2 linked regions of the Diceros bicornis minor genome follow. The protein of the gene in region 1 binds, or shares a complex with, the protein of each later gene. Links are inferred from orthologs where the notes say so. Each region holds a gene or a part of one and is shown on either strand. Other genes may lie near its edges.

The links.
Region 2: the proteins of IRGQ (region 1) and GABARAPL2 are in contact, whole or in part, in a crystal structure (PDB 8Q6Q), measured with the Homo sapiens proteins. The link is inferred for Diceros bicornis minor from reciprocal best matches to the Homo sapiens genes IRGQ and GABARAPL2. Residues at the interface, in NP_001007562.1 of Homo sapiens: Asp7, Thr9, Leu11, Pro47, Leu49, Phe57, Pro70, Trp71, Glu74, Pro181, Ala182, Gln183, Asp184, Gly185, Phe186, Glu187, Val188, Leu189; in NP_009216.1 of Homo sapiens: Ser10, Glu12, His13, Cys15, Val16, Glu17, Ala19, Lys20, Ile21, Ala23, Lys24, Tyr25, Arg28, Pro30, Lys46, Lys48, Tyr49, Leu50, Val51, Pro52, Phe60, Ile63, Arg67, Phe104.

Annotation. Positions count from the first base shown.
Region 1 is NC_080773.1:18,198,349-18,214,303, forward strand, and holds IRGQ (immunity-related GTPase family Q protein), read right to left. Parts: upstream 6,862-15,955; 5' UTR 6,799-6,861; intron 6,759-6,798; exon of another isoform or gene 6,650-6,758; intron 6,345-6,649; 5' UTR 6,343-6,344; coding exon 5,813-6,342; intron 4,661-5,812; coding exon 3,325-4,660; 3' UTR 3,184-3,324; downstream 1-3,183. Other genes in the region: ZNF576 (zinc finger protein 576), read left to right, coding at 7,398-7,426, 7,796-7,896, 9,547-9,974. UniProt on the Homo sapiens protein: Autophagy receptor that specifically promotes clearance of misfolded MHC class I molecules by targeting them to the lysosome for degradation.
Region 2 is NC_080771.1:25,997,382-26,013,054, reverse strand, and holds the start of GABARAPL2 (gamma-aminobutyric acid receptor-associated protein-like 2), read right to left. Parts: upstream 7,015-15,673; 5' UTR 6,906-7,014; coding exon 6,872-6,905; intron 6,543-6,871; coding exon 6,487-6,542; intron 5,336-6,486; coding exon 5,163-5,335; intron 1-5,162. Other genes in the region: TMEM231 (transmembrane protein 231), read left to right, coding at 12,680-12,818, 12,925-13,094, 14,260-14,314, 14,559-14,641. UniProt on the Homo sapiens protein: Ubiquitin-like modifier involved in intra-Golgi traffic. Modulates intra-Golgi transport through coupling between NSF activity and SNAREs activation. It first stimulates the ATPase activity of NSF which in turn stimulates the association with GOSR1.

The sequences.
Region 1 (15,955 bases):
TGCATGACAGAGAATGCATGTACATACGTACATACACCGATTTCTCACAATAACCCTGTGAGGTAGATGCCATCTGCTGAGTGACTCGCCCAAGGTCACCCCCAAAGTCAGGAGAAGGACTGTCTGACCCTTGAGCTGTGCTAATAGAACTTCCTGTGATAGCGGAAATGTTCCAGGTCTGTGCTGTCCAGTGCCGTAGCCACTCACCACCTGTGGCTACTGAGCACTTGAAATGTGGCCAGTGCAACTGAGAAACCGAATTTTAAATTTTGCTTACTTTTAATTAACTTAAAAATTGACACTCATCTCCATTATTGGAAAACTATTCAATATAATTGGGACAACTTGGGTATATGAATCTACTTCTCCAAATATGAGTTTTATGAAATCTAAATAGAGGTCAGGTATTTCTGATGAAAAGTTATCACCTGAATTGTGTAAAATACACACGAGATTTCAAAGACTTAGCATAAAAGAATGTAAAATATCTCATTAATACTTTTCTATATTGATTACATGTTGAAATGATAATATTTTGGGTATATTGGGTTAAGTAAAACATGATAATTAGTTTCACCTGTTTCCTTTTACTTTTTTTTTACTTTTCCTTTTTTTGCGAGGAAGATCAGCCCTGAGCTAACATCCGATGCCGATCCTCCTCTTTTTGCTGAGGAAGACTGGCCCTGGGCTGACATCCGTGCCCATCTTCCTCCACTTTATATGGGACGACGCCACAGCGTGGCCTGACAAGCGGTGCATCCGTACGCGCCCGGGATCCAAACCCAGACCGCCAGCAGCAGAGTGTGTGCACTTAACTGCTACACCACGGGGCCGGCCCCTCCTTTTACTTTTTAAATGTGCCTACATGAAAATTTAATGTGGCTACAAGAAAATTTAAAATTACATACGTGGCTCACATTCTATTTGTACTGGACAGCGCTGCCTGGTGGCTCTCCCTCTCTTCCACATGGCTGGCACACTTGATGGAGAGGCCTGAACGCTCAAGCTGGAGATGGGGTTACCATCCCTCGAGTATCTGCCCCTCAGATCGGTTACCCTTGTCCCCAGCCGTCAGAGGAAACAGGGTCTAGAACCATACCTACGTATGGTTCTTGTCCAGCCCTTTCATTTCACAGATGGGAAAATAAGGCACTGGTCCAAGTCACCCAGAGTGACAGTGGCAAAGCCGCGCTTGCTTCCCAGGTCTCCTGACCTCAGACAAGGGCTCTCTCTCCCATTAGATGCTTGTTTCTCCCCCCATCTTGCTCCTTTTCCCTGTCTTGTGACAAGAGGCCGGCACTCTAAATTCCAGCCCTGGTTCTGCCACTGATGAATGAATTAAAATATTTACTAAGCACCTGCTATATGGCAAGCACTATTCTAGGTGTTGGGGGTACAGAAGAGAACAACACAGGCAAGGGAATAATAGCCAATAAACAGGTAAATAAATAAATAAATAAAGTGATTTTCTATTGTAATAACTGCTACAAGGAAAATTAACAGGCCGAGATGAATAATGGGGGTGTGTGAGCTACTTCAGTTAGAGCAGTCAGGGAAGGCCTCTCTGAGGGGCAGTTAGGGTGAGACGTGACTGATAAGACAGCCAGGCATTCTAGGGAGAAAGAACAGCAAGTGCAAAGGCCCTGAGGTAGGACCCAAGGTGGCCCACTCAAGCATCAGTAGGAAGATTTGTCAAGCTGGTTGGGGGATAAGGTAGGGCAGAGCATGTGAACAGGCAGGGGCCAGACCACATAGGGCCTTGCTATGTGCTGCTGGGCCTAGAGCCTGCCCTCTCTGGGCTTTGCTCTCCGCATCTATCATAAGAGATTCTACTGGATAGCCCCTCAGGTCCCCCCTTTCTGTTTTTGACATTGAAGGATTCAGTGACCTGTGGCTTCTCCTCTACATGTAGCTGGCAGCCTAGAACATTCCAAGCACTGTGGTTTCTGTCTTTGCCTCACTCATGGTACATTCACACGCTCTGGAACACTGCCCCACTGTTCTGTGGGTGCCTTCAACTCCAAGGCAGGGCCTCTTGGGGATACCTGAGGTAGCCAAACAGACACGCCTGGGTTAGTGCAGCAGTACAGCTGCTTTTCCAGAAAGGCAGGTGTACAAAATACCAAGGCCAGAAAGGGTTAAGGTTTAAAGACAGAGGAAACCAAGACCAAAAAAAGACAGAAACCCCTAAAGGAGGGAGGAAGAGAGGAAGACTCCCCAAAGAACCTCGGAATTGCCAGCACCTATAAAATGGGGGCAGTCATATCCCTTCTTGGCCAAACTCACAGAGAGAGAGGGGCAGTTGCCAGGATCCACATCTGTTAGGGATTTGTGGGAGAAACCTCTGAGGTGTGGGTTCCTGCCCTTCCATAACCAGAAGACCTCATTCCTGGTCTCTGGCTACCCCCAGAGCCTACCACCTCCCTCTTGCCTCCTCCCCTCATTTTTGTGGGGCCATCCTCCCCACAACAGCTGGGAAAGGAGTCTGGGTCACCAGGCCCCCAAAAGGAATAAATATTAGACCAAGAGGGACAAAAGGGTCTCCGCTCTGTCACACAGCCCCCTGCTTCCTCCTCTAGATGCAGCCCTCCCACCACGGAAGAGTTAGGAACCAAGGTCCACAGCCCTCCTGAGAGCCAAGAGTCTGAGACCCCAGAGACTGCCCCTCCTCCCAATGAAGATTCAAAGCCCACTGCCTCTTGAGGAGCTGGGAGGCTGTGTGCAGGCCATTCCCCAGGAAACCTAGACTCTATATCCCTTTGTGGCTCAGAAGTCCAAGGGTTCCAGCCCCCTGGGGTACTAGACCCCCCCTTCTCCACACTGGAATTCCCAGTGGATGGAGTATGATGGAGATGCCCCTCATCAGGAATCAGGGCTGCCATCCCCTCTCCCTCTGGAAGACTAGATGCCCAACAGCCCCAGTTTCTACTCCCTTGGAGACCAAGATATACCCCCTTCTAGGAGTCCAACCTCTCAACTCCTTTCAGAACACAAGTATTGGTGTCATGATCCGTGGTCCCCAGAGAAATCAGGAGTCCTGTCCCCCAGACTCTATTTCCCTTCAGGACCCAGGAATCCGGGTAACTAGAAGTCACACATTCCAACCAGTAGCCAGAGCCCTCTTCCCCCTCGAACACCCAGGATACTGAATGGCAGCCCGCCCGTCCCCCCCCCGCTGTTATCTCCGAGGCCCAGACACCCCATGCCAGAGTCTGGACCCCCAAACCCCTTCCTTGTAACGGGGACTTGGAGCCCCCCGGGCCCTGGGGGAGCCAAGCAGCCGGGAGGCCGGGCACCCCGGGAGCCCCGCCTTCGCCCCAGCCCTCACTGCGCGGGCGCGTGGGGTGCCAGCACCGCCTCGGCGTCGGCCAGCATCTCGTCGAGCGCCTGCAGCAGGACGCCGTGCGCCGCGCGGTAGCCCAGGCCGCCGGTGGCCGCCGCGCCGCCCGCAGGCCACAGGAAGGAGAGCGCACCCAGCGCCGCGCCCCCGGCGGTGCCCTCGCCCGCCCAGGCGCCCAGCCTCGCCTCCACTTCGGCGCGCGTCACCGGGCCGGGGAAGCGCGTCCGCGCTGCCAGCTCCCCAGGCGCCAGGCCCAGCGCGCGCTCGCGTCGTGCCAGCGCCGCCGGTTCGAGCCCCAGCGCCCGCCGCCACTCCGCCAGCTGACCCCGCAGCAGCGCCACGTCGCACGCCCAGCCCAGCCCTGGTATTGGGGCCGCCGCCGCCGCCAGGCTAGCCAGCAGAGCCGGCCGCCACGCCCCGGCCCGCAGCGCCGCTGCCTTCGTTCGGGCCGCGCGAGGAGACGCGGGCGGCAGCGCCAGGAGCAGCGCCCCCGCCTGCGCCGGGGGGAGCGCGCGCCGCAGCCACTCGCAGAGCCCGGGGAGTCCGCCCGGCCGCAGGGGGAACACGGACGGCGGCGCTTCCTCGAGCACCTCCCACGTCTCGTCCTCCGGGCTCAATGAGGCCGCCCGCTCTGAGTCCCCGCTGCCCGATTTCTTCGCGACGACGCCAACCTGCTGCAAACTCTCATGGCCTCCTTTCTCTAAACCTTCCCCATGGCCTGCTTTCTGCGATCCAGTGCCATGTTTCTCCCTTCCCTCACTAGTTGCATTCTCCAACCCCTCTCCGCCTGCGTTCTCTAAGCTCTCGCAACTGGGCTTCTCTACTTTTTCTTCCTCTTCCAGAGACTCTGGATCTTCGCCCTTACCATCTGTTCGCACGCAGACTAGCGGCGCATCTGGTAGCACCAAGGGCCGGACCTGAGCCCAGTCTTTCTCAGTGGGGGCCTCAGGGGTGACAAGGATGAGGGCGTCGTAGTGGGTTGGGTGGGGGGCGGCCGCAGTGCCCGCGGAGCCCAGAGGCACGGTCCAGAACACCACATTGGGGCGCTCTGGGGCCGGGTAAGGCGTGGTCCCCGCGGGCGCCGAAGCAGGCACCGCACCTGGGTCACCAGCATCCAACCCGAGTAGCATGTTCAGCACGAGGCCCACGTCAGCCGTGCCGGCCACGGCCAGGTCCAGCCGTGCGCTGCCCAGCCGCTCCAGGCCCGCGCGAACCCACGACAGCACCGCCTCCAGGCCACCGGTCTCGAAGGCCTCACGCACAGCCTCCAGCTCTGCTGCGCCCAGTACCTCGAAGCCATCCTGAGCCGGTGGCAGGAACCTGTGGGGACAGGGAGGGATGGGGTCATGGGCAGAAGAGGGGCTAAACGGTGGAGAGCTGGGCTAGGAGGACAGGACTGGGTTATGAGGACAAGGGCGGGGCTTTCCGAATAATCTGAGGGGGGAGCTGGAGTGGGAAGCCAGACTGATGGCACAGCAAACAGAAACCAGGACTTAAAGCAGGGATGGGGCGGGCTGATTGAGCTTCCAACAGAGCTTAAAATGGGAACCCCACTAAGTCTTCTCCCGGATACAGCCTTTGGGACCCGGCTTTTCCGAGGGACCTGCAGGGTTAAGTAAAGGCGTGCTGGGTGGGGCAAAACTCACAGAGGTTGGGGCTTGGAGCAAAGGCAGAATCGAGACTGTATTGTGGAGTAAAAGAAAGTCGAGCACTATTTGACATGGGCAAGGTCACCATGGGCGCTCTTTCCTAGACTAGGCGTGAGGAGGGGAGTAGGGACCAGTGAGGGGAGAAGGCTCATCTGCTAGTTCTTACCACGGGGGATGGCTAAGGAATAAAGACGAGCAGTGGGCCTGGAGGAGAGGCTGCCCCTCTCTGAGCCTCATTTTTGACATCTATAAAATGAGGCGGCTCGGGGTTGGGGGAGAGAATTCAGGAGGTGGGCAGCAAGTGGGCACCGAAACCAGATGGGATTAGAGAAAGGAAGTGGGGGAGGGCACCTGGAAATAACAAAGCTCATTGAGGGTGGGGTCGCTTGAGAACCAAGCTGCTGGTGGGAAGGGCGGAGAAGACTTAAGAGTCTTGGGGTAAAATTTTCGCCGGGATCAAAAGCTTGTGTGATGAGACTGAGCCTTTCTTCAAGCTTTCGCCTGGGGCAGTATTTGCACAATAGGTCCCAGCCTCTCCTAGAATTCCTGCTAGGGAGCGGGGCTTGTGACCTCGCCTGAGGCAGGAACTGGATGACAGATCGGGACTTCCAGCTGACCCTTGGCTGGGGGTGGGCCTAGACGTGAGAGAACAGTCAAGCAGGACCTGGATGAGGGAGCAGGACCTGCAGCAGGTATCTGGTTAAGGCTGGCCCCAAAGTCGCTGGGGTAGGGGGTCTCGCGGACCTCAAAGAGTCCCTTATCGGTGTGAGGTCTGTACTAAAGGACCAGGCCTCCCCAACCCACCCAGAAAATCTGCGCTCACCTCTGCAGCGCCTCCGCCTGGCTCCGCAGCGCCGCGCGCAGGCGCTCCAGCTCCTCGCAGCCGTCTCTGCTGCCGCAGTCCGCCGGCAGCACGAAGAGAGCCGCGGCCCCCAACCCCGCGCTGTCCAGCAGGGCCGCTGTCTGATCCCGGGCCTGGCCTTCATTCCGTGAATCCCCAGGACGGAGGTTCCGCACAGCCAGCAGCGGGGTCCCTCGGGCCAGGGCGGCCCGCGCTGCCTCCGCCAGCGCAGGGGCCAAGGGCTCCCCGTTCCCCTCGGGGCCTGGCAGCACCAGTACCAGCACGTTGGCCTCGGCCGCCCAGGGTCCCGGCGCTGCGGGTGGGCAGCTCAGCTCGCCCAGGAAGAGGCCTGGGCCCGCAGCTCGCAGGCTGGGGATCCCGGAGTCCGGCCGTCCGTCGGGGATTTCTACCATCTCCACAGCTTTGTCGCACAGCGCTGCGATCAGCGCAGACTTTCCCGAGCCCGGCGGCCCCAGGAACAAGGCGGTCACGTCACCCCGCGGCGGAGGCATAGCTGGAAAGCAAGGGGTGGGGAAGACGGGGGTCAGGGAGCCCCCAGCCTTTGTCTTTTCTAGCCGCCCCAGTCTGGCGTCAGACGTCAGTCCTCCACCCTGTTCCCTTCTTCCATTCTCGGGTGTCACTCCCAGGGACCTGGGAATCCGGCGCCCAGACCCTATTCCCCAGGGACCCAGGCGTCCTTTCCGCTCTCCTTCTAGATATGTTTCTCTCTCTGCTTCGAAAACTCAGAAATTCGGCCTCCAGCCCTCTCCTCTCTCAAGGGTACAGATGTTCCCCCCCACCCCCTTCCGAATCACTAACCGAGCCAACGGCCGGCACAAGGGAGAGCGCAGCTGATGGAGGCTGGTCAGCCGCTGAGCACCCCCGCCCCTGGAGTCCGGCGGACGGAGGCCGAAGAGCCTAGAGCGCGGGGATTTGGGGATGTCCAGACACGTCCCGGGGACTCTAACCTGACGTCACTCCTTTTAGGAGGGGGTGTGTCTTGGAAGCGTGATCTCGGAGCACAGCCGCAGCGCCTGCGCAGAACGGCCAAAGTGCGTTCGCTCCCCAGCTCCGGCTGCCGCAGGGCCTAAAACAATGAGGGAGGCACAGCGCCTGCGCGCCAGGAGCGCCCAGCCACACCTGCGCAATGAGCTTAGGTCCTCACGGCACCGGTGGCTTGCAACGTCATCATAACGCATCCCAGTGCGGAGAAGGACCCCACCCGTTATTTTGAGGGCCGGTTGGCGCGACTGCATCATTGCCGGATGGCAGTCCAGGATCTCGGTTTCGAGAGGCTCAACAGGCGAAAGGGCGTGGAAACCACCGGGACTTGGAGACTCGGTGGGCCCTGTCCTGCTCCCCTCCGGGTGGCGGCGCTGTGACGAGCGACTGACAGGCGCAACGAAAGGCAGCCCTGTGCTGTCTGGAGAAAAAGCAGAGGCCTGGGCTACCCGCCTCGGGAGGAGGGAGCCAAGGGCAGTGCTGGGAGCAGCGGGACACGGAGGCTGAAAGCGCGTGGGAGGCGGGGGCTCTGGGTGGAACAAGAGTTAGAGGATGTCAGAGAAGGATGTCTCCTGGGAAGAGGCGAGCTAAAGCGTGGGTACCACTACCTGCCTCAAGACACGTGGGAGAAACGGGAATGAGGCTGATGTCAAAGATCAAGGGTCCTGCGCTGAGTTCAGGAGTTAGTTTGATGTAGAAGGTCATAGGTCTCACACAGGTGAGAAGGCTCTAAGGGGAGTCACAAACCCCGGGGAGTCAAATGGTTTGGGAGGGTTGAAGCTTCTCTAGGGAGAGCTCCATCAGGTTAGAGTTCAAGGAGATGGTATCTGGTGGGGGTCCAAGGCTGGCAAGGAGAGCCTCTATGTCAAAGGTCATAGGATTAGCGGGCCCTCTAAGGCTGGCGAGAGATGAGCGACTTCACTTGATTTACTATTCTATCATCCGTGCTCCTCTCTTGACCAGAGGGGTCCCAGCCACCATGGAGGACCCGCACCCCAAAGAGATCATGGAGCAGCAGGATTCGTCCAGGGAAAGGAGTCCCAGCAGTCCAAGAGGCGACATCTGTGAGTACTGCTGGCCAGAGGAGGGTGGGGTGCAGGAGCTGATGCTAAGAGAATTTCTATAGCATTTTAGTGTCCAAGGTGCTGCAGGGACTTGCCTGTTGGGGTCCTGCCCTACCAGGAAGTGCCACTCCTCACCTTCACCCCCATTACGCTCAGATGTCCCCACCCTGCTCTGTCCACATAAGCATGAGTGGGATGCATTTCAGAGAGACAGAGTGGCATCAAGAGGCTTCGGGTGGGAGATGCAGCTGGGAGAGGGCAGAGACTGTGAGAGGAGCCCTAAGGTTCCAGTCCCAACTCTGCCCCAGACTTCCATTGTGACTTGGGCCTCAGTTTCCCTATCAGTCAAAAGGGGTTGCCACTGCTCACCTCACAGGGCTGTTATGGGGATTAGTGACAAAAAAGGGGAAAGCTTGATATTAATGAAGGTAGCCAGTATGACATATAATAATAGCAACAGCTTCTTCTGAATTCTTATGATGTGCTAGGCGCATTCTAAGCGCTTAACATTCGTTATCCCATTCAGTCCTCCTAACAGACCCTGTAAAATTGGTTACTATCACTTGCAGAAGAGGGAACTGTGGCACAGAGAAGTATCCGTAACAATTGGAGGCAGTATCAACGCCCTCCAGCCAGAGACCACCAGAACACAGCTGCAGTTGCACAAGTTGGGTTTATTGCTCACTGTACTGAGGAAGTGCACACACACCATGGGGGCACTGTGGGGCACCTCAGTAGTAGAGCGTTAGGAAGAACTTATGATAGGATTTGGGCTTGTGATAGGTGATATGGGGGGGGCTCAAGGAAGAGGGGTTTGCTCTGGACTGGATGCTGCCAGGAAGCAGGGGCAATTGTATGGCTGGCCATCTTAATAACTCTCACCTAGAAGGAGGGTGGAACAAAGAGAGGCGCAAGCTGACTGCAGCAGCAGCAGCACAGGCACTCGTGTGAGCCAGGATGGGGGCGTCTGGTCATTTCTGTGGTTTGGACAACATTCACAGTTGTGTCTGCGTTCAGACGCTATTATGGTGTGGTCCTGTTGTCTTGATGCGTCTTAGCCACAGCATGGCCTTGTCTGACGACGTTCTGTGACACCGTTTATGTTCAACAGGAGACCACCAAGGCCAGCTCCCAGCTGTCGGGCTGCTTTTCTCTTTCTCAATAGTAATACTTGCAGACCACTGTGTAGCACTGTTCTAAGTTCTAAGCACTTTATATTAAATAAAAGTTCATGTACTCCTTCCAACAACCCTATGAGGCAGATACTGAGAGGGTTATCACCCCATTTGCCAGATGAGGAACCTGTTGTACTTGCCTAGGAAGTGGCAGAGCTGGGACTCGGTTCCAGGCAGTCTGGCCCCAGAGGAGTCTGGCTGGAAGGGCAGACTCCCTGGGTTCCAGTCTTGACTCCACCATTTTCATTTCCTAGCCTCATGACTGTGGGCAAGTTGCCTAACCTTTCTGAGCCTCAGTCTGCTCACCCATAACAGGTCCAATAAGAGTTTGCCTGTACTGCTTGCTGTCCAGCCCTGGCATAGAACCTGGCACATAGTAAGCACTGAATGTTAATTGTTGGCATGATTCTGGGGCTTGGGAGAGGTTCCCGGAGACTCCTGCTGGCCTCCCCCGACTTCTCCCCACGTCCCTCAGGCCACCTGGGGGTCCCACAGTGCACCCGCTGCCTCATCACCTTCGCCGATTCCAAGTTCCAGGAGCGTCACATGAAGCGGGAGCACCCAGCGGACTTCGTGGCCCAGAAGCTGCAGGGGGCCCTCTTCATCTGCTTCACCTGTGCCCGTTCCTTCCCCTCCTCCAAGGCCCTGATCGCCCACCAGCGCAGCCACGGTCCAGCCACCAGGCCCCCGCTGCCGGCTGCACCCACCACTGCCCAGCCCACCTTCGCCTGTCCTGACTGTGGCAAGACCTTTGGGCTGGCTGCTTCTCTGAGGCGGCACCGCCAGGCGCACGAGGCCCGCACCCCTCCTGGCCCCTTCGCCTGCACTGAGTGTGGTCAGGACTTTGCCCAGGAAGCTGGGCTGCATCAACACTACATCCGGCATGCCCGAGGGGAGCTCTGAGTGCAGCTTAAGCCCTCCCCAGGGCAATGGGGGCTCTGTGGCTGGTAGGACCCTCCTCTGATATGGGATGGGGGCCTTGGAGGGATTTGCTCCCCTCCCTGGAAAGGCAAAGGGCTCCTGATAAAGAGGACCCCAGAAGATGCTTAATTAGAGCTTCAGTCTTTGGAGGACACAGGCTTTCAGGGAAATGGTGAAATCAGACAACAGTGAGATCTTTTGTTTAAAAAAAAATGAGCAAGAGAGGGAAAATTGTTATTTGTATCTCCCTCATTCTCAATTAAATAGTTTGAAATCACAGCTAGCTGCAGATTGTGTAATCATCTTTAATTCTTCCCAGATGGATGCCGTGGGCTATAGGAGCAGATTGTTCTGGAGTTGTGCCTGAATGGGGGCAGGAAAGGTGAGGTGTTGCTGGCCTATAATGCCACTTGATGGGTCCCAGATGTGGAGCAACTTGGGCCCTTGGGGATGGGGCTGCAATGTTGGGAGCTGTACTCTGAGTCATGTGGGGTTGCAATTTGAGTCCTTGTCACCTCCCACCCCTGCCAGCCTTTCCCACTCAAGGAGGGGCCATGGCATTGGATGGCTTTGCCTTCCCCCCACCCCCGATGATTTATTGCCCATTTAAATAACTTTATGTACCATTCTGGCCATGGAATATTTTTTATATGTGTAGGAGAGATGGCATCAATAAACTGACAGAAATAATATCTAAAAACAGAAAAGGTCTATATTAAAATGTCTAAACAAGGAACTGGCTTTTGAACATGAATTCCCAGAGAACATAAGAAGGGCACGGGGAGGGGGAGCTCCGGGCAGAGCTGGCCTGACCCTGTGTGGAAACTAGTTTGGAATCAAACAGAGATACCTTCTGTTTCCTGTTGTATTTGGCCAACAGTGGGAGATTTCCCGTTAAGATCCTATTTTCAGCTCTTGAAAGGCCCAACCAGGCCAGTTTTACCTCCCTGCATTACCTGCCCTGCCCCTGGAGTGGTTAATGTCCTGCATGCAATAATCAGAGACTCTATTTGAATTGAGGGATGTTTTTAAAGCCCAAAAGTGAAACGGATGTGGCAGAAACTGATAGCTGTCTTCCAATTTTTAGCTAGGCACATGGTGGCTACAAAGACTACATTTCCCAGATTCCCTTGCAGCTAGATGTGGCCATGTAACTGAGTTCTGGCTAAATTCCTAGTGGGAGTCCTCAAGCTTCAGAAAGGGACATGCCTTTCCTCCACCTTCCTGCCTGGAATGTGGACATGGTATCCAGCCATCTTGGACCATGAGAGCAACACATGGGATGGCAGAGCAATAAGAGAGCAGGAGCCTGGGTCCCTGGTCAACTTCATGGAGCAGAGCCATTATACCAGCCCTAGAACATCCACTTGCATACTATCTTGTAAGTGAGAAATAAACCTCTATCTTGTTTAAGCCACTATTATTTTGGGTCTCTGTCACATGCAGCATAATTTATAGCCTAAGGAAGACATCTGCAAACTATAGCCATGTCCATCCTGCTTCTTGGTTTTGCAAATAGTTTTTCTGGAACACTGTCATGCTCGTTCATTTACGTATTATCTATGGCTGTTTTCACATAGAACAGCAGACTTGAGTAGTTCCAACAGAGACCGTATGGCCCACAAAGCCTAAAATAGTTACCATCTGGCCCTTTACAGTAAAAGTTTGCCGACCCCTGGTCTAACTGATAGACATACAACCTACTCTCAGCCTGGAAGCAGGATTCCCGCCCTGGGAAATACTACCTCTAGCAGGAGTCTAGCAGGAGTGGGGGGGGTGTGTGTGTCTAAGATTTGGGGAAGGGATCTAACCTGGATCTCTTTGCTAGGGTGACTTATGGGGAAACTGGTTTGGAGGAGGTTGGCCATCACTTTTTTCCAAGTTATCAAATTCACTAAAGCCAAACATTTCCTCTGGCTCCTGGTGAAAGCCCAGAAGTTTCTAAGTCAGATGTTTCACACCACTGCCACAGTGGCTCCACCAAACCCAAACCTAAGGATCTAAGCCCACATTCTTTCCCCAGGTAGAGAGCAGCCTGCCCAAGTACACCCTTGGCTTCCTGTTCTTTCTACACTCTCCAGATGTCACAGATTCTGAAGACTTTAAATAGCATCACTGGGAAGTTCCAAATCTTTATCTTCAGCCCAAACCCCAGACTTACCTACATGAGATACAACCACTTGGATGACGAATGGGAAACTTAAAACGGGTCAGCGTGACTCCTGCCTCCACAACTGCCATCGTCTTAGTAAACTGCACACTCGACTTCTAAATTCCTGAGCCCGACTACTCCTCACCCCAGCCCCACTCTCCTAACTGTGCCCCTGCTACCACTGCAGCCCCCTCCAGTCTCTACTACAGGGCACTCCTCATTTATAAGCCTCCACATCCCATAAATAACACCCACAGACTGTGCCCAAGCCCACAATACCCAAGAATGACCAGGCCCCAGCCCACTCAGCAATCTCAACTCCCTCCCTGCTCTATCTTCACTGCACTCCCACCACACATGCCAGGCTGGCTTCTGCCTTAGGGCCTTTGTACTCACTGTTCCCTCTGCCTGTAGTGCTCTTACCCAGAACTTCGCAAGGCTGCCTCTTCATTATTCAGGTCTCAACATGTGCCAGCTCCTCCGAGAGGCTCTCCTCGACCTGCTTGGCTAAAGAAGCACCTCCAACCCTTACCCTGATTTAATTTCTTCCTAGCACTCTTCAACACCTGGAATTATCACACTTTTATTTATGTCCTTATCCATATCTTTATGCTGGAATCCAAGCTCCTGAGGGCAAGTGTCCTGTCTAGCTCACTGCTTCATTGCCAGCACCTAGGACAGCGCTTACCACGGAGGCTCAAAAAATACTCTTGACTGGGCGCAGTTTACGTAGTGTCTCTCGGCCTCCAGCTCTTCCACATTGCTCTGTGAACTATGCTTCCCAGACTCCCTCGAGAGCAGGCTTCCTTAAGTTCTGCCCCTGACAGGTATGGGCAGAAGGAAGGTAGGAAGACAGGGAAGGGACTCCCCTTGCTTTGGGGTCTGGCTGGCACCCCTCCAGCAGCAGCTCGGGGTCCAGTACTGTTCTCAGAAGGCAGCGTGTCCCTCTTGAGGTCTGAGCACCAACTGCGTGGCACCTCATCACTGGTCCCTGCTCCAGCCGCACGTGGCCTGCCCTCCAAGCTCCTACTGGGTTCTGGTAATCCCACTCTTTTTGTATCCCAGTCCTAGAGGTGGGGGCTTCTTGCAGACACTGATTTCTCGGTTACCTCCCTTTCCCACGTTTCAGCTTTCAGCCTTCTAACACCCATGTAACCAATCCCCTGTATTAAACGCTCTCTTTGGGATTCCTAGCTTGGCTTCCATAGCCTGACTGGGCCCTGAGGAACTAAACGAACCCACTGGCAGCAGACCATGTCTCTTGATTCCTAGTCTCTCGTGATCCTTAGGAATTTCTGCTGATGAAAGGATAATTCTCTACATCTGTGCTTAGAAAGCCCTGTCTTAGGGCAGAAGAGGGCTCAGGCATGCTGCCCTGGGAAATAAAATCCATCTTGTGGGGCAGGCCCCGTGGCTTAGCGGTTGGGTGCGCCCACTCCGCTACTGGCGGCCTGGGTTCGGATCCGGGCGCGCACCGACGCACCACTTCTCTGGCCATGCTGAGGCCACATCCCACATACAGCAACTAGAAGGATGTGCAACTATGACATACAACTATCTACTGGGGCTTTGGGGAAAGGAAAAAAAAAAAACAAAATCCATGTTGTTTTAATGAGCTGTGAATTTCTCCTTTGATGATTCTGAGATTCAGTGAGGCTAAGCCATAGTGGTTATACAAGTCTCAGTTCAGAGTGGATAAATGTCAGGTTCTGAGATTCTGAGCTTCTAGGATGAAGTGTGGGTTTTGAAAGATGCTCTAGTCTAAGATATGGTAACAGGCATCAAAATGCAAATACCCTTTGGGGCCATGTAGGTACCATAAATCAGTGAAGCGAGCAGGGTGTGAGGGGTCCAGATACCAGATGGTGGGGACTAGCATACGGGAGGGAGTGCCCCATTAAGAGGATGTCCCTGTTCAGCAAACTACCACCCCAAGGGATTGTGGGTTCAGCAATCTAGAGCTCACAATTTTTCAAGAGAAGGCAGAAACTTCCATTTTTATGTGAAATCTGCCCATTTTTAAATATTGGTAACCGATGTGATTATAACACCTCAGTAACTCTGTGGAGACCAAATACACTCCTGCCAGTCAGACGGTGGCTGTGGACCACAGACTGCTACTTCTGGTGGGTGGCTCAGTGGCTAAGAATGTGCACCCTGCATCCAGGAATCAAACCTGTCTGGAATCAAACCCGGGCTCTGCTTCTGTGTGACCTCTAGCAGACAATTCAACCTTTCTGTGCCCCAGTCGTAGCAGTTGTAAAATGGTCACGATAATAGCCCCTGCGCCTCTAAGGATTATGACAATGACTCAGAGGAAAAGCCAAAGTCAGTATAATGGCCTACGCACCTGGCCCTTCCACCAGTCTTCCCCCCGCCTTCCTCAGCAACAGCCTGTGGCCACGTGTGCTCCTCCACACACATCCCAAGCAGGCTCCAACCTCAGGGCCTTTGCACTTGCTGTTCCCACAGACAGCCACATGGCTCACTCCTCTCCCTCCTCTAGGTCTCTGCTCTGATGTCACCTTCTCAGTGAGGCCTTCCTGACCACCCTATTTGTAACTGCTTCACACACACACAAGCCTCCCCACCCCCTTCCCTTTTCCTCCACAGCACTTATTACCTTCTGACATTCTATACATTTTATACATTCGACTTACATATCTAATTACATATCTCTCTGTCTTCCCCATCATAATACAACCTCAACAAAGGCAGGGAGTTTAGTTCATTGTGTTCACCGCTCTGCTCCCAGCTCCCAGAACAGTGCCTGTAGCCTGCAGGTGCTCAAGAAATCACTGTTTAACGAATGAGTAAATAACAGTCCCTACCTCATAAGGATCCGATGCGACTGTCCATATAAAACGCTTAGCCCAGGGCCTGGTCCACTGTGAGCGCTGACTTAATGATGGTCATTACGGTAATTCAGGTTCTATTCTGGAAGATTCTTAGCTGCCAAGCTTCTATGAGTTACCACACATAAAGCGCCTCAGAATAGGGCTTGGCACACGGTAAATACCCAGTAAATGATAACTATCATTATAATTAGGCTTCTATTTTCAAAGGAGCTTCGGTGCCAAACTTCTGTGAATTACTACTTCCCATCTCAGAACGAGAGCCAAAATGCTCCCCTGTGACCTCATCCCTCCCTCCCTCTGCTCCAGCCACTCTGGCCTTCCTGACACGCTAGCAGGCTCCTGCCTCCTCCCGCCCACTCATGTGCAGGGCTCCCTCCTTCAAGTCTCTGCTTAGTTCCCCGTCACCTCCTAGGGAGGACCACACTACTTCAAATTGCAACCCCCTTCCAGAACTGTCCACAGCCTTTACCACCATCCAGCATATGCTACATCTTACTCATTTACTGTCTGTGCCCACCAGCGGCCCCTTCCCGCCCCCACGGAAGCTCCAGGAGGACAGGATTTTATTTTATCCACCGGTGTCTTCGCAATGCTTAGCACCCAGCAGGTCCTCAAAAGCTACTTGTCAAATGAATTAACAGATCCCAGCCCCTACCTCACAGAGTTATTCTAAGGACCTGATGATCTCATGCAAATCACATGCAGCACTCTGTAAGCACTGGGAAAGTGGCAGCTGTAATTATAATTAAGGTTCTATTTTTGTAGGTTCCTAGATGCACAGCTTCTAGGAGTCAATATGTACAAGGCTCCTGGACTGGCACTTGGCACCCAGGAGGTGCTCAGGAAGCACAGCTGTGATGGTCACTCAAGTCCTCTTTGTGAAGGTTCTTAGACGAGGTGGCAGAGAGCACTAGCGGTCCTCCACAAACCCCTCGCTGCTTTCCAGGCACTTG
Region 2 (15,673 bases), on another chromosome or scaffold:
CTCTTTTCCTAGCAAGTTAGAAGGCCTAGTGCAATGACTCTAAATTCCACTCTGAATTAGAGATACCTGAGGAGCTTTATAAACACCAGTGGCCCATCCAAGACTCTATATGCTGTCCACAGTGAATTCTTGTACAACAGTGTACAAGTAGTAGGAATCACTACTGTCTAAGGCAGGCTCTGAGACTTTGAGAGGGAGGGCCCATAATCATGTAGCTTTCTGCCTTCAGATTCCATTGTCTAAGTAAAACTTGGGTTTATAAATTTGTTTATCCAGTGCCCTAGCAGCTATAGAGGCTGATCGTACAAATTCTAATTATAATAGTAAACACATGCCAAGCACTGTTCTAACTGCCTTACATATATTAACTTTTTATCCTCACAACAATCTTATGACACAGTATCATAATCCATAGTTCATAGATAATAAAAGTGAGGCACAGAGTGGTTAAATAATTCACCCCACGTCACAAAGCTAGGAGACATTCTTACCATTAGGCTGTGCTGCCTCCAAGTGAATACACAGCTAGATCTGTTCTAATGACCTAATGTCAGCGTCCTTGTACCTTCTGCAGCGATCTCCCTCAGAACGGGGCTTCTCACACAGACAAACATGCATACGGAATCACCTGGACGTCTTGTTAAAGTGCCTGTTTGGATTCAGAAGGTCAGAGTGGGGCCTGAGATTCTACATTTCTAACAAGTTCCCAGCTAAAGCCACTGCTGCCAGCCTCTGCATCACACATCGAGTAGCCAAGTCTCAGCACTCTCCCCTTCAGATCCTGTAATCTGACGACTAGATGGCTGTGCCTAGTGACTTTAATAAGAGTCCTCTCACTGTTCTCCTTTTCTCTGTCACGCAGCCTCGCGTGGAAACTTTATTTAGTTGGCGGCAGCACCGTGTCCTTATTCTCAGGGTACCCTTGGGCAGGAACTTGAAAACTGATAACGCTCAACTCTGGGAGCTAAACACTCCATTCAGCAGCCTGTGACTGAACGCCTGATTTCGAGGCTTTGCTGGGTGCCATGAAAGAAGACTGGCACATCTGTACAGTACGATTTGAAAATAGCACTTGTGAGATAAGGCCACACACATACAGAGTCAGAATAACTTGCCCTAGAGCCAAAAACAGCTGGGCCACTAATACAGTTGAAAAAAATTGTTTTTAAGTCCCATTAAACGAACAGTCAAGTGGAAGTGCAGGGAGGAAAACGTGACCCTAGTCAGCAGGCAGTCTCTAGCAGAAGGCTAGTGTGTCAGTGTAGAACAAGTTCCATAAGCCTCTGAGATGATGAGCTTCCCTCTCAGAATTCAGAGGCCTGAGCCACACAGCACTAGGCAGGCCACTGCTAGTGCAGGAATGCCTGAGGATCCTAAAGCACAGAGGCAGCTCTAATGCATCTGTCAGGCTAAGCTGCGAAGGCTGCTGGATGGACTGACAATTCGCAAGCAGCACTGCAACTCCAAGGCTTCCAGCCTAAGTTACTGGCTGCAGAAGACAACCAGAGATGGCCTCCAGTCCCTAACACTAATGCACACCATTGTGGCACTGAGTATTACACGCACTCCTCCGGGTACCAGGGCTACCAGGGGTACTGCCACCTTCCAAGCTCTGAGTCTGACAAGGAAAGAAATGGGAAAACATCAGATTCAAGCCATGGAGTCAATCTAAGGTGTGGTGGGACCCCGAAGTACTGAGTGAAATGAACCTAAATTGCTCCCTAAAACCCTGTCCCCTACCCCTCCGTTCAGGGTCACACAGATCCAGACCAACTAACCAATAATAAAGGCAGCTTTCAGAAGGATCCACCTCCAGGAATGGCCATGCTGCTGAGGACAAATACTAGTTTTAAGCTTCTCAGCAGCCTGTGAATTGAGGGAGGCTGACCTAGAACTGTGTGGGTTGCCCAATCCCCGCAGAACCTCCCCTTGGCCCCTGATCAAGGTCAGGTCATGGAGGCTGTGGGATCCAGCCTGACTCATGAATTGGCTGGACTGATGGGCACACCTGGCCACCCATCTGCTTTGGAGCCTACATGCTTCCACTGGACCTGGATTTATCTCTTTTCCAGCAGGGGGAGGACAGGCGGGGTGAGGTACGAGGACAATGGCCACTGCTGTGGATCCGGGAAAGGCACTCGCCTCAAAGTGAAAGTGAATATGGCCCTGAAGCCTCCCCGAGATTCTAAAAAATAAAAATTAACTACTGCTTGTTCCTTTTATCAGATTTTTCTCTGATATAAATAAACCCTATTCTACTGCTGAAATAAACCCTGTTCTTGAAGAGATACTTACCCAGAAACGATCCAGAGTGCTTAATTTAAGCACATTTCTAAATAAAGTTTGAATGGACTATAAGACATCACAACTTCCTTTTACTTAGTACCTCTTTAAGATCCAGAAGCAACTAAACACCATAATCTTAAACACAGCAGAGGTTTCCCAATGTAACATTCCCAAATTATAACATCATAGAGACAGTTTATTTAATAATAATATACTCCTGTTTCTATTTTAAAGGGGAGATTAACAAGACTAGTCTGTGTTCGAAACAAAGACCACCAAGGTAGGCACAATTGCCTGGGTTCCCCTCTAACACCATGACTGGAAAACTTGTACACTGATGTTCCTTCTCAAGTCCTGTCTGCACCAAGGCATAGTTCTCCTTTTGTTTTTGGCCTGATTCTGGATGCAGGCACCTAGGCAGAGAATTCAACCTTCCAATGCTAAATGGGAAAAGGCAATTGAGATTCTCCCCCTTTTTAAAAAAACATAAATCAGAATTTAGGAAGTAAAACTCTTAGGGACTTGCCTGTCTCTATTTCTAGAATCAGTATTTAATACTAACTACTCTAAACAATAATCACGACATTTTACATGGTGCTCACTTGTGTTCCAGAACACTCTCCCAAAGTTCCATTCCAAGGCAAGAATAAATGGAGTTACTTCCGCTCAGCCTCAGACATAAGCGATCCCTGTTATGGATAGGGGAGGGCTCCTGCAGGCCTGGGTTCATCCTTTCTCAACTCTGATTTCCCCAGCCACTCTCTGAAGGCTGCAAGCACTGGCTGAAGGTTAAAGGAGGCCCTGCGTTTCCCTAAGGAGGCTGGAAAAAGCTGAGGAAGAGGCTGCTAAACTGCCTTGAGGAGGAGATGGTGAAGCTGAGTCACTCAGGAAGGAGACCCTGTAGCAATTTTGTTTGTGCTTTCAGGCGATTGGCATCTCCATAAAGCCCAATGATGTCACATGCCTCTCTTGTTTATAAACAAATTTGTTTGTAAGAATAAAACCCCCAAACAAACAAAGAACTGCTGCTTTAAGTGTGGGGCAGGAAGACATTAACTGGGGCCAAAGGCACTCAGGGCCTGAGCAGAGGGGCCCTGGTTAGTGATCCTAAAATCCTGACTTGGGTCACTGGTGTAATCTGCCTTAGGGTAGATTCTCACTAGGCTGGAAAGGCAAATGGGACTTGGAGAGAAAATGGCCCTGATGCAGACTCTGCTGCCCTGAGAATCACTTTTCATTTCCAATTCTATTTATATCTCAGGGATAATGGGGGAGGGGGCAGTTGCTAAAATCTGCAGCCATTTTAATTGCTAGATTAATGTGGAGCCATCAGAGTAATCTTAATGTCTCCAGAGCCTGATTCATTTCCTTCAAGAAGTATCAGAGGATCAGAATTAAAGAAAATAAACTCAATGCCATAGGTCCTACTCACCTACTTCCTCCCACTAAGAAACCACCTCCAGGAAGGAGGAAACACAGGGTCGCCAAGGCTCTGCAGAAGTTGCAGGTGGTATGAATAAAGATTTGCCTTCTCTCCCACCTTAAAGGAAGCCACAAGTGACCACAGGGGCCCAGGGCTTCCTCCCCTGGTGAAGAGTGCACCCAGCACCACACTGCCCAGAGGCCTGGGAAGGAAGGCTAGAAGAACCCAACAGGGTGACAAGATCACCTCTGGCAATATCGCAGCTTCCTGAGCTATAGCTGTGGCAGATCAATGGCACCCAGCAGGCAGGGCCTGGCCTGTCTCCCCAGACAAGACATTGGCCTTAGGGAAGAACCTTCCATTTCTCCCCTATCCTGCTCCTCTGCCAAACAGCAGGAAGTGGAGGTGGTGGAGACTGGAAGAGAGAAAATCAGAACAAAATATAGCCAGAGCTTTCTACCTTTTGTAGGGAAAGGACTGGAATTTGGCTTAGGCCTCTCTGGAGCTTTCAAGGATTTTCAAAAGGAATATATTTTGGCCACATTGGGCTAGTTCCCAGGGATTCTGAAAGTCTTAGCTTTTAGAAGTGCTACCTTTGGGAGGTAACAAATGAAACTTAGTTTGGGTCACCAAGATGAGACGCAGCCAGGAACTCACACTCAGGGGAGAGGGGCCAGCATCTGGCTCAGGCCCTAGAAGTCCTCAATCAGTAACAGGAAAGCACTGACCAGGGACTTAGACTGAGCCAATCCATTTTCCTCTTTCCACAGGGAACTAAAGCTGGGCTGTCAACTATACAGAAGAAGGGAATTGTAATGCTCCTGCCTAGATTCAGGCCCCAAGTTATCCCAAAGATTGCTTCCAGGCAGCACAACAGCTAGAGCAAAGGGCAGTTACTCTGCCAGGCAGAGCAGGTGGTGCCAAGGGAGATGTAAGTCTGTAAAGAGACCTCAGGGCACTTTGCTGGACGGCAGCCATTTTAGCATACGTGAGGATTAGGCAGCCACAGACCCTCACAGTGGCACAGAGCTGACTGAGTTTGGAGAGCAAGTAGGCAAGGTGATTACCCAAAGCTGAGCTACAGCAGGGCCCACGAGCTCCTGGTGGAGAATGACAGGTCTTATTATATGAATCATTTGGAGAAAACCTCATTTCAGGCTTCAGTTCTATTAATGGCTTAAGCCTAAGTAAGTCCTCAACTGTTTTAAGGGATCCTGGGGAGACTGAGGCTGGATTTCATAATTTTTTTTTAAAAGTCCAGGCCTTGTTCCATTTTCTTAACCCAAAGTACACTCCCATGTATTGCAGCCTTTTCTTATTTCCCTTGAGCTCCTAATGTCAGGGAGCACAAAATCCAGATTTCCAGTCAGAACCTCTAAGAGTTTTCAGACCTCCCAAGTTTTGAGTTCTGTAAGCAGCCAAGCAGATGGCCAATACAGTGAACACCTCTCACCTGGACTGTGGAACTGTCTTATCCACAAACAGGAAGATCGCCTTTTCAGAAGGAAGCTGGATCCTTTTCCTGATGATCCACATGAACTGAGCCACAGTGATGTCAGATGGAACTAGATACTTCCGTTTGTCAATGTCAACAATTTGAGAGCCTGAGACTTTTTCCACAATCACCTAGGAAAGCAAAGAGAGGTCAGGACTGGATTTCTAATGTGAGGCTCTGGCCTTGCACTGTTGGGAAGCTAATGAACAATGTGTGGGCAAGGAGGTGGGTGGGAAACTGTGTAACATGAGAAAATATGCTCCTGACTTAATAAACCACACACTCTGGAGGTTAAGAACTGATATAAATGTCTTCTAGGGAAACGGTAAGTGCTTTTCTGTGGTCAGTTATTATATTTCTCATCCCTGATCTCAACATGCATAAGAGAAACACAGCCCTTACTACAAAGCTTTTCAACCTTTTGTCTGGGCAGACCTGAGAATATCTGATGAGGCTGTTACTCCAGGACCCCAGAATGGATCTGCCTTCACACTACAGAGAAATTAAGATCCCAAAGAACATAGGAAACAAAAATGGATGGACTAATAGGAATGACTGGCAATCCCAGCCAGCCAAGAACCAAGCTCTTCCTTTGGCCTGTTGCTGCTCTCTGAACTAGGTTTCAAGTTTGTCCCTCTTACCCTTCTCCTCCCCAAAGGAACTGTTCACAAGCAATGAGCTACAATAACAGGCCTGGATGTCCTTTAAAAATCAATAAGGATTACAGAAACTATCTCCCCTACCATGGAAAAAATATAGGATCATTTTTATTATTAATTAAGGGGAAACCATGGAAGAAAGGGTTTTCAGCCATTTCTCAGATATTTTTTGGTCAGGAAAGGATGACCAGGTCAGGGTGAAGAAAGGGAGCTAGAAGTCCGGTAAAGATGGAGGCTCAAAGTTAAAGATGAATGTCCTGAGACTACAAGTACCACTTCCAAGACCAAAGTGACAGTCTCCCCCCACCACTGTTCCCCAAAGTGGCAGTGACCTGTTGCCCTGTCCTAGAACATCACTCCTTACATAATTGGCGAGGGAGCCCAGAGGCTGCAGACAGCTCGCTGGCCTAGATTGGGAGATTCAGCACTGAGGCACCCCGAACAGCACCAGCTCGAACCCCTCACGCCCCGGCCCCCGGACAGCCCCTAACCCAGTCTGGCCCGTCTGCTACTATAACTGGGACGGAAGCTCAACTTGTCAACTGTTGAATGGCCTGGGGCCCTATCACGAGTCCTAGACGACAGGGGTGACAGCGGGGTGAGGGGGCGGGGAGTCCACTCACCGGAACCCGATCAGGATACTTCGCTCGGATCTTCGCAGATTCCACGCATCTGTGTTCTGTGAGAGAAACACACCGAGCTGACGGTCGCGTCTGCCCGCTAGCTGGTTCCCAAGCCCCTGGCCCTCCTGCCCCCGAGACCTGCGCACCCCCCGGGCCCTCGTTTGGGCGTCCTGGCGGCCTCGGTCCTCGGTCCCCTGGCTCCCGCAGAGCCTGCGGATGGCGACACGGGCTCCGTGGGCAGCTGCCCCAGGGGCTGGGACCTTGGCTACCCGAGCCCAGAGCTCGGCATCCGCCCCGCCGGGCCCAGGCCAGGGCGGCCTGAGTGGGGGAGGGGGCTCACCTGCCACCCCAGGCCCCACGGCCCGGCCACTGGCCGAGCGCTTACCCAGCGAGTGGTCCTCCTTGAACATCCACTTCATGGCGGCGGCGGAAAGAGACGCACCCGGCTCTCGGAGCCGCGGAGCTCAGCGAACCAACTACAACAACAACGACGGCAGCGGTAGCGGCAGCAGCGACTACACGGCAGGCGGGACTTCCGGCTGCTGGAGCCTAGCAACCGGCCGGGGGCGGGGCTTCCGGCGCGCTCATCCCGACGCCATGCCAAGGGGTGGGGCCACACGCAAGAGGGCGCGGCGAGGGGGCCGCCAGGGGAGAGGGGGTGATGATGTTGATGACAGGGGCATCTGTGAGCTATATTGGAGACTGGGGAGAGGATATTCGGGAACTTGGGGTCTCGGCGGATGTGGGTAACGAGAAGGGGAGTTTGAGGGTCTGGCTGATAGGGTAGGGCTCTTGTAGAGGGCTGTTCATGAGGGCAGTCTGACTGGGGCGTTGGTGACAGGAGGGGCATTTTGGTGGTATGAATGACAGAAGAGGGGTCTCTGGTGGTTGGTGATAGCAGGGGGAGTCTGTTTCGGGCCTTGACAGTTTGGGGAGTATTGTTTGGAGTGGTAACAGGTTGGGAGCTCAATATGGGGTGTGTGAGGAGACTGTGGGGGGGAGCTGATGACTTCCCAAGGGTTCAGTATTGGGGACAGCCATAATAGGTTTCCTCGGACCTAAAAATTGAATTTAAACAAATCCCATTTCCTCCCTTTGTTCATGAGTAAATGTTTGAATAAACATAAGAAAAAGTATCACAAATATGCGTTTGAAGAGTGTAACATCACACTGATCACAAAGAGCCCCCTTAATCTTAACTGGCAGAGGAGCTAGAGGTGACTAGCAGGCTCGGAGAATTCCCCTAAGAGCTGGTCATGAGATGGGCTTCTTTGACCGGCAGCGTAGGGTTCAGCAATCACAGCCTACACTGTATGTGTCACCTGCCTGAGCATATGCCATGAGGTTCTCCAGTGATGTCATTCCTTTCTTCCTAGCAGAGTCATCAGGGCAGTCTGCTCTGGGTCATCATCTGTTTATGAGATGGTAAATATGTAACAAGACTATTGACTTAATTGGGCACATGATCCTTGCCGCGTGCTTGTGATTCTGATGCAGCTGAAAGACCTGTATGTTTGAACATTGTCATTCATCATTTCCTACAGTTGAAATTCCTGATGGATGCTGTGGAATCTAGCTTCATTCTAAAGGTATCTTTGTTATTTTAAGATTGTGTGTCTGAGTAACCAAAATAGGTTTTTGTTTGCTTGTTTGTCTTTAATGAAGTGAAAAATCCTTTGAATTTTGTACCTAGAAATTATTGTTGTTGCATATAGGAGCACTGTTCTAGGTGTTCAGGAAAAGCAGTGAACAGAACAGACAACACCCATGTTCTGATGGAGTTTGCATTCTAGTTGGACAAGACAGAAAATAGGGGCCGGCCCCGTGGCTTAGCGGTTAGGTGCGCACGCTCCGCTACTGGCGGCCTGGGTTCGGATCCCGGCGCGCACCAGCGCACCGCTTCTCCGGCCATGCTGAGGCCGCGTCTCACGTACAGCAGCTGGAAGGATGTGCAACTATGACATACAACTATCTACTGGGGCTTTGGGGAGAAAAAGGGGGGGGGGGGGGAAGGAGGAGGATTGGCAATAGATGTTGGCTCAGGACCGGTCTTCCTCAGCAAAAAGAGGAGGATTGGCATGGATGTTAGCTCAGGGCTGATCTTCCTCACAAAAAAAAAAAAGACAGAAAATAGATATGTCGGGTAACGATAGGTGCTGTTTCAGGAAAATAAAGCAGGGTTGGAGACTAGAGTGATGGTGGGATAGAATGCTAATTAGGTAAAGTGGTTGGCATATTCTAGGAATAAGAAGGATCCACTTGTGGCTGGAGGCGAATGAGCAAGGAGGAATGTGTTAGGAGATGAGATCAAAGAGATCTAGAACAAAGCTGTGTGGCGCTTTGAATTCCATGTGAAGAAATTTGGATTTTATTTAGAATGAAATGAGAGTCAGTGGAGGGTTTTAAACAGAGGTGTGACATGATATGACTTTCCTTTTTAAGTGATCAGGTTAGCTTTTGTGTAGACAGTAGACTATAAGGGGTTGAGGATGGAAGCAAAGGGAACAGTTAAGAGCCTATTGTGATAATCCAGGTGAAGGATGATGTTGGCTTAAACCAAGATGGTGTCTGTGGAGGCAGTGGGAAGCAGTTGTGTTCTAGATATATTTTGAAGGTAGAGCAGACAAAATTTGCTGATAGATTGGATATGAGGTATGAGGGACAAGTCAAGTCAGGGTTTTTGAAAGGATGGAATTGCCATTTACTAAAATAGAGTGGAGCTAGCTTGAGGAGTGAGAATCAAGAGTTTGGTTTTGGATATATTAAGTATGAGATGCTCAAGAGACATATCCAAGTGAAGATGTAGAGTAGGTGAATGGATCTATGAGTCTCAGATTCAGAAGAGAAATACTGAAGCTATTGAACTGGATGAGATCAGCTAGAGAGTGAGTGAAAAAATGAAAATACCTTTTTTGCAAATAGAATTAAACACTGAGGGATGAAGATGGTTGTTCACCATCTGATTGTGAATCAGTGGAGGAGTTAGAATTGGACTGAAGATCCCTGCTTCCCTTTACAGAGCTGGTCATTGTGTCCTAGTCCAAGGCATGTGTACACCACCTTGCGCCTGGAAGAGCTTAGTACACTTCTCAGGGGAAAGATCCACCATTCACCCAATTGATAGTCGTGTCACCTGTTTCAATGATGTGCAATGTCTTTCTGTCTTCTATCTTTACCTACTTTCTTGATGTCTTTTTCCAGTTCACCATTCTAATTGGCTTCTCTGATCTGCCTTGATGATATGCATCACCTTCTTCGCCTATTGGGTCATTACATTTAGCTGATTGAATGTTCTAAGGACACTGGATGCCTTCCTTGAGGGGGTGGTTAGTTGAAGAGGTGAGTCAGGAGGAGAAATAGGATCATCAATATATGCAATGACACATTAACAGACTTATAACACACACAGAATAAATTTCAAATGTTGGAGAGGTGTGTGAACATGGATACTGAGGGATGGCTAGGGCAATGGGGGCTGACATAAAGCCAAGCAAGGCTTACCAAGAAAGACTTCACAGAGAATGTGAATCTTATGTTTCAGAAAGAAAAGTACATTTTCTAAAGGATAAACTTCCCTTAAAAGATAGAAACAGGGACAGGCCTGGTGGCATAGGGGTTAAGTTCGAGTATTCCACTTTGGGGGCCTGCCCCGGGGTTTGCTGGTTGGGATCCTGGGGGCGGACCTACTCACCACTCATCAAGCCATGCTGAGGCAGCGTCCCATATAGAAGAGCTACGACTCTATAACTATGATACACAACCATGTACTGGGGCTTTGGGGAGAAAAGAGAAAAAAGAGGAAGATTGGCAACAGATGTTAGCACAGGGCCAATCTTCCCTAAAAAAAAAAAAAGATAGAAACAAAGGCTGAAGTTGGAATGGGGAACTGGGAAGCCAAAGGTTCAGCAATATAGATAAATGCCAATGTGAAAAAAATGTTGCAAAGCCTTGAAGCAAAAATTCAGGAATTTTAAACTGATTCAAGAGACCCTGAATGGGAGCTTCTAGAAAGGGGTAAAACATGATTAAAATGTGTAGTTTTAAGAGAACAACTCTCTTTGATCTTGGAGGTAAATTGTATGAAACATGAGAAAATTATGGAAATGGAAACTGAGAAGTCAGTTCTCAGTCATGAATGTGTGAAAATGACACAATATACACAGATCTTTAGCATTTAAAAAAATCTAATATTCTCTTAAAGAATTGAAATAAAAACACAAAGACTAGCTTCCTCAAATCATGGAAACAGAGTAAATATTAGTATCTGTTTTTTTTTTTTTTTTAAGATTTTATTTATTTATTTATTTTCCCCCAAAGCCCCAGTAGATAGTTGTATGTCATAGCTGCACATCCTTCTAGTTGCTGTATGTGGGACGCCACCTCAGCATGGCCGGAGAAGCAGTGCGTCTGTGCGCCCCTGGGATCCCAACCCAGGCCGCCAGCAGCGGAGCACGTGCACTTAACCGCTAAGCCATGGGGCTGGCCCTTAGTATCTGTTATTATTAAATACTTTTGCAAAGCTCATGGCATCTCAGGGGAGGCTGAAGCACTTCATACACTTAAATTCTTTTTGTTTTGTTTTGTTTTTTTTTTTGTGAGGAGGACTAGCCCTGAGCTAACATCTGATGCCAATCCTCCCCTTTTTTTCTTGAGGAAGACTGACGCTGGGCTAACATCCGTGCCCATCTTCCTCTACTTTATATGGGCCGCCGCCACAGCATGGCTTGACAAGCGGCGCTTTGGTGCGCGCCCGGGATCCGAGCCTGCGAACCCCGGGCCGCTGCAGCAGAGGGCGCGCACTTAACTGCGGCGCCACCAGACCGGGCCCCAACACATACACCTAAATTCTTAGCAGTCACCTCCCTGTTTCAGCAGTGACCAAGTGACACTAGCTACAGTGTGTGTTTCCTGCTGAAAGAAGGACCTGTGGAGGGAAACACCTCCTTCCTCAGAGCCACCCTCACAATGCGATAGTAGAACCATTTATTCTAGAATCTTATTTTAATGGTTATTTAAATAAATGAAAGTCATCCACTAAACCATAGATAGAATATAATGTCAGAATCATAACATAGCTTTAAGCTAACAATTGCTGTATTTAAGAGCTGTGTTGCCATCCCAGAAAAGCTGTAAAGCAAGAATGAGTAGGACTAGACCAGATATGTCAAAAGCATCATATGGCCGATGACACTGTCACCTTGGACTATGGTAAGGGCCCTAGCTAGTTATCCCAAATGGGCAGATCCTGACCTCCCTCTGTCTGTGTTGTTAGGATCTCAGTTGTTCTCTTCATCTAAAAGCCACTTCTAGGTTGCCTTCAAAATAGGGGCATCAACTACTGGACTCCACTCTAAGCACAAACTTCACACTATCTCTTGGCACTGCAGTGTGATCCTTCAAGCCCTTTTGATGAAGAACTTGGCTGTGAACCATGGTTAAAAAAAAAAAAAATCCTTCTGCCATGCTCGAAATACTGGTTTGGGGGTTAGAAACATTCAATTAAGTGATAAGCCAATGTTATCTTTGGGGAGGACCATAGCTTCCTCTAAAACCAGTAGCCAGGCTTGTACCCAATACATGTAACAAAGTATAGCAGAGAGCTATGTAGTAATTATCCTTTATCCCACGAAGAGCTGCGAGATTTGTGTCCTGTTTCTATGTCTGTCCTACTATGGAGTAGAGTGAAAGCAACGAAACTTTGGAGACAAAGGGACCTGGTTTTTGTCTTATCCCAGGAACAGGTGGAGGATCACGGCCAGTTTATGTTCTGTGTGTTTTCCTCCCATGTAGGGTGTGCTGTGACTAGCTGGACTTAAGTATGAACCACATTGTGGATTAACAGATAACATACAAGCAGCTATTTACTGTAAGGCAACTTTTATGAAAATCTTCTTTTACACAAGTGTTAACACGGGCGGTGGCTATGATTTTGGTGCACGCAAACATTCTACCTCCACCCAGCCTTTGGAGAAACGCACGCAACGCGTAAAGCGGGTCGAGCGTCCACCAGCCCGCATCGCCCCCGTCAGCCCCGCCCCTACGGTGGCCCCGCTTCCTTGCTATTGGTTCCTTTCCCTGCGCCGTCGGTTGCCGTGGAGACCACAGCTATGGCAACTAGGAGAAGCCAAACTTAGTCGTTCCTCTCGAACCGCGGAGGGGTCCCGGGCGTGCGGCGCTAGTCCGCGCGGAGCTCATGGCGCTCTACGAGCTCTACTCTCACCCGGCCGAGCGCGGCTACCGCGCGGGGCTCTGCTCCAAGGCCGCGGTGTTCCTGCTGCTGGCCGCCGTGCTCACGTACATCCCGCCGCTGCTGGTGGCCTTCCGGAGCCACGGTGAGCCTGCCCCCGGCCGGTGCGCAGCACAGCCCCTGCGGCCCGCGGCGCCCCGGCCGGCCTTCCTGACTTCCTCCCTACCGCCCTCCCGCCTTCTTTACCTCAGGGTTCTGGCTGAAGCGGAGCAGCTACGAGGAGCAGCCGACCGTGCGCTTCCAGCACCAGGTGCTGCTCGTAGCCCTGCTAGGATCCGAGCGCGGCGGCTTTCTCGCGTGGAGCACGTTCCCCGCCTTCAACCGGCTGCAGGGGGATCACCTGCGCGTCCCGCTCGTTTCGGTGCGTGATTCCTGCCCTTTTCTAGCCCCCCCACCCCGGGGACTGGGCGGTGGTGGCGGTGGGAGGGAGGTAGCGAGCTGCCCGGCCTGAGCCCCCGGGGAGCCCAGCGTGGATCTTAAGGGTTCGCGAACCCATGGAGGTTGTGTGCACAGGCTCATTGGCCTAAGCCTATTTACTGGCCTCTTTTACTGGTTTAATTTACTGAGAGGTAAATTTCTCGTTTCATTCGACTTCTCCAAGCCGTCTCCAACCCCAAGAAGGTTAGCCACTGCTGTCAGCGTCTGCGTCCTGACAGAGTGCAGAAGCCTGGGGACAGCCTGTCGCTGGCCCCGTCCTTTCCGGGCCTGGCCTCATGGAAGGGTGGTCGGGAAAGTTCGTGGGTCATGAAGGCCGAGCAGTGTTCCTGTTGTAACCCCATCATGTCGCTGCAGTTGTGCATCGCACCACGGTGGGAACGCAAAGGGTAGGCGTTTTTATGAAGACTTGACACATGGAAGCCAAGGCGGTGATTGGTTCAGCGACCTCCCCAGAAAGTCGGGCTGGCCTAGTCCCTGAGCTTGTACCTTTAGATGCTGCTCCATCCTGCAGCTGTCTGGGATGAAAATGAAGCATTTTACTATTTGTAATTTAGTCTTTGGTTCAGGATAAGTGAGTGCTTCCTTGACAATCACCCCTTTCCGCACATTTTCTGAAAACGTTTTGCTTTGGAAGTATGAAAATTCTGGTTTTCCTTCTTCCAAAGTTGAATCTCTTTACACATCTCTGAGCTGATTGGCCTACAAGCCAGACTTGTGCAGCTGAAAACAAAAATTCAGACTTTTTTCTAGCAGCTAAATGAAATGAAAAAAAGTTTTAAACCTTATTGTTATATGAATAACTACAAACAAAATATGATTCAGATTACTTTTTTTCTGGTTACTTTACGTTTTCTTATATTTTTTTTCTGATTATAAAAATGCATGCTCATTGTAAAATATGAAAAAGTTACAGGTATACAGAAAGGCATAAAATTAAAGGCTTAGTTTGGTACATGAATCAATACTTGTTAATTAACCTTATTCTTTTTAAGGTCTGCAAAGTATTTCATAATATAGAAAAACCATGATGGATTTAACCACTTCCCCATTGGTGGATATTTGATTTGCTTTTACTTTTTCACTATTAGAATATTGCAGTGAGTAAGATTTTGAATTGGAATGGAAGCTGTTGGTTGAAATTGTGTAAGTACATGGAAAACTAAGCAAGCAAATAAAACAGTAACTCCAGAGAAAGAAAAAGTAAGGAACAGTGAGAAAGGAAAAGTAATCAGAGTTGTGAATGGTATTTACGTAGTCATAATTATATGAACACTGAGTATTGACTAACCAAAAGAATGGGAAGGGTGTGTGTGTGTGGGTGTGGGTGGTGGGGGCTGGTGGGAGGTGAGGGGAAGAAAACTAAATCTTCATCTTTCCTTGTGGGAAGTCAATAGAGAATGCCTGAAACTGAGAAATCGAGAAGTGCCAATTCAAATGTTAAAACATGGAGATACGTTTCTAAATAATGAGGTAAATGAGATGAAAATATTTGTTATGGGAGTGGAAGTCTGTTTTTCTAACAAATATGGTTGAACACTTTGATTCTTTAAATGCTTAGGTCTTTTAAATTGATTTTAAAAATAGAACTGGAGTAGGAGACATTTCTTTCAGTAGCTCCTCACTAATCATGACATGTTGCCCATTTTTATTATTTGAGATTATAATGCCTCTTGGGAAGGGTGACTGGATGAGAGGCCAGTGTTGAGGTATGCTTACTTTTCATTGTGTACCCAGTGTACTTCTGGTGTTCCATGTGCGTGTGTTTCATTTCCAAAAATGGAAACAAAGGATTTTTTATTCCAAATAAAAAATTAACTTGTTTGGTTTACTTTAGGTTAGCAGTCCCTGTCTTAAATTTTTTTCTTTACATTTGTATATTCCTCTCTATCCTATTCTTCTGGTTACTTGAGTCTAAGAAATAATCATGAAAATGTAAAATAATCATGAAAACAGGGATATAGCGTTAGGTTTCGTTCATTCGTTCTTTTCACTTGTTCATCCACCACAAGTGGTTGGCTCCCCGGTTGGACCGCTGTGTTAGCCTCTTATCTCGGTAACCAGAAACTGCTCCCTTGAGAGCATTGCCCATGTTCCCCCTGCTTCTGGTGTGTGTGAATTCCGATTTTAAATCTACAAAGCCAAGACTACCTCTTTTTTTTTTTTGGTGCCCAGAACCGTTAATCCTTTCATACTGGGTAATTTTTGTAAGACACAAAACCAAAGCTCCTTTTTCTTAGTTTTTTACCCCTTCATTCTAGGCCAGTGCCTATAAGTAATTTATGGCCTTGTTATCTACAGTCTTTCTCAATAAATGCTTTGCTTCCTTCCTACCTGAGCTCTTGGTTTGAGAATAGTTTGAAATCATGAGATACAAGAAATGAGAAGACAGTGGAAGTACAGACCTCAACAGCAAACCAAAAGATAAACTACCTGGGAGTAAACTTAAGAAATGTACAAGATCTCTATGAATAAAACTTTAAAAGATTGCTGAAAGACACAAAA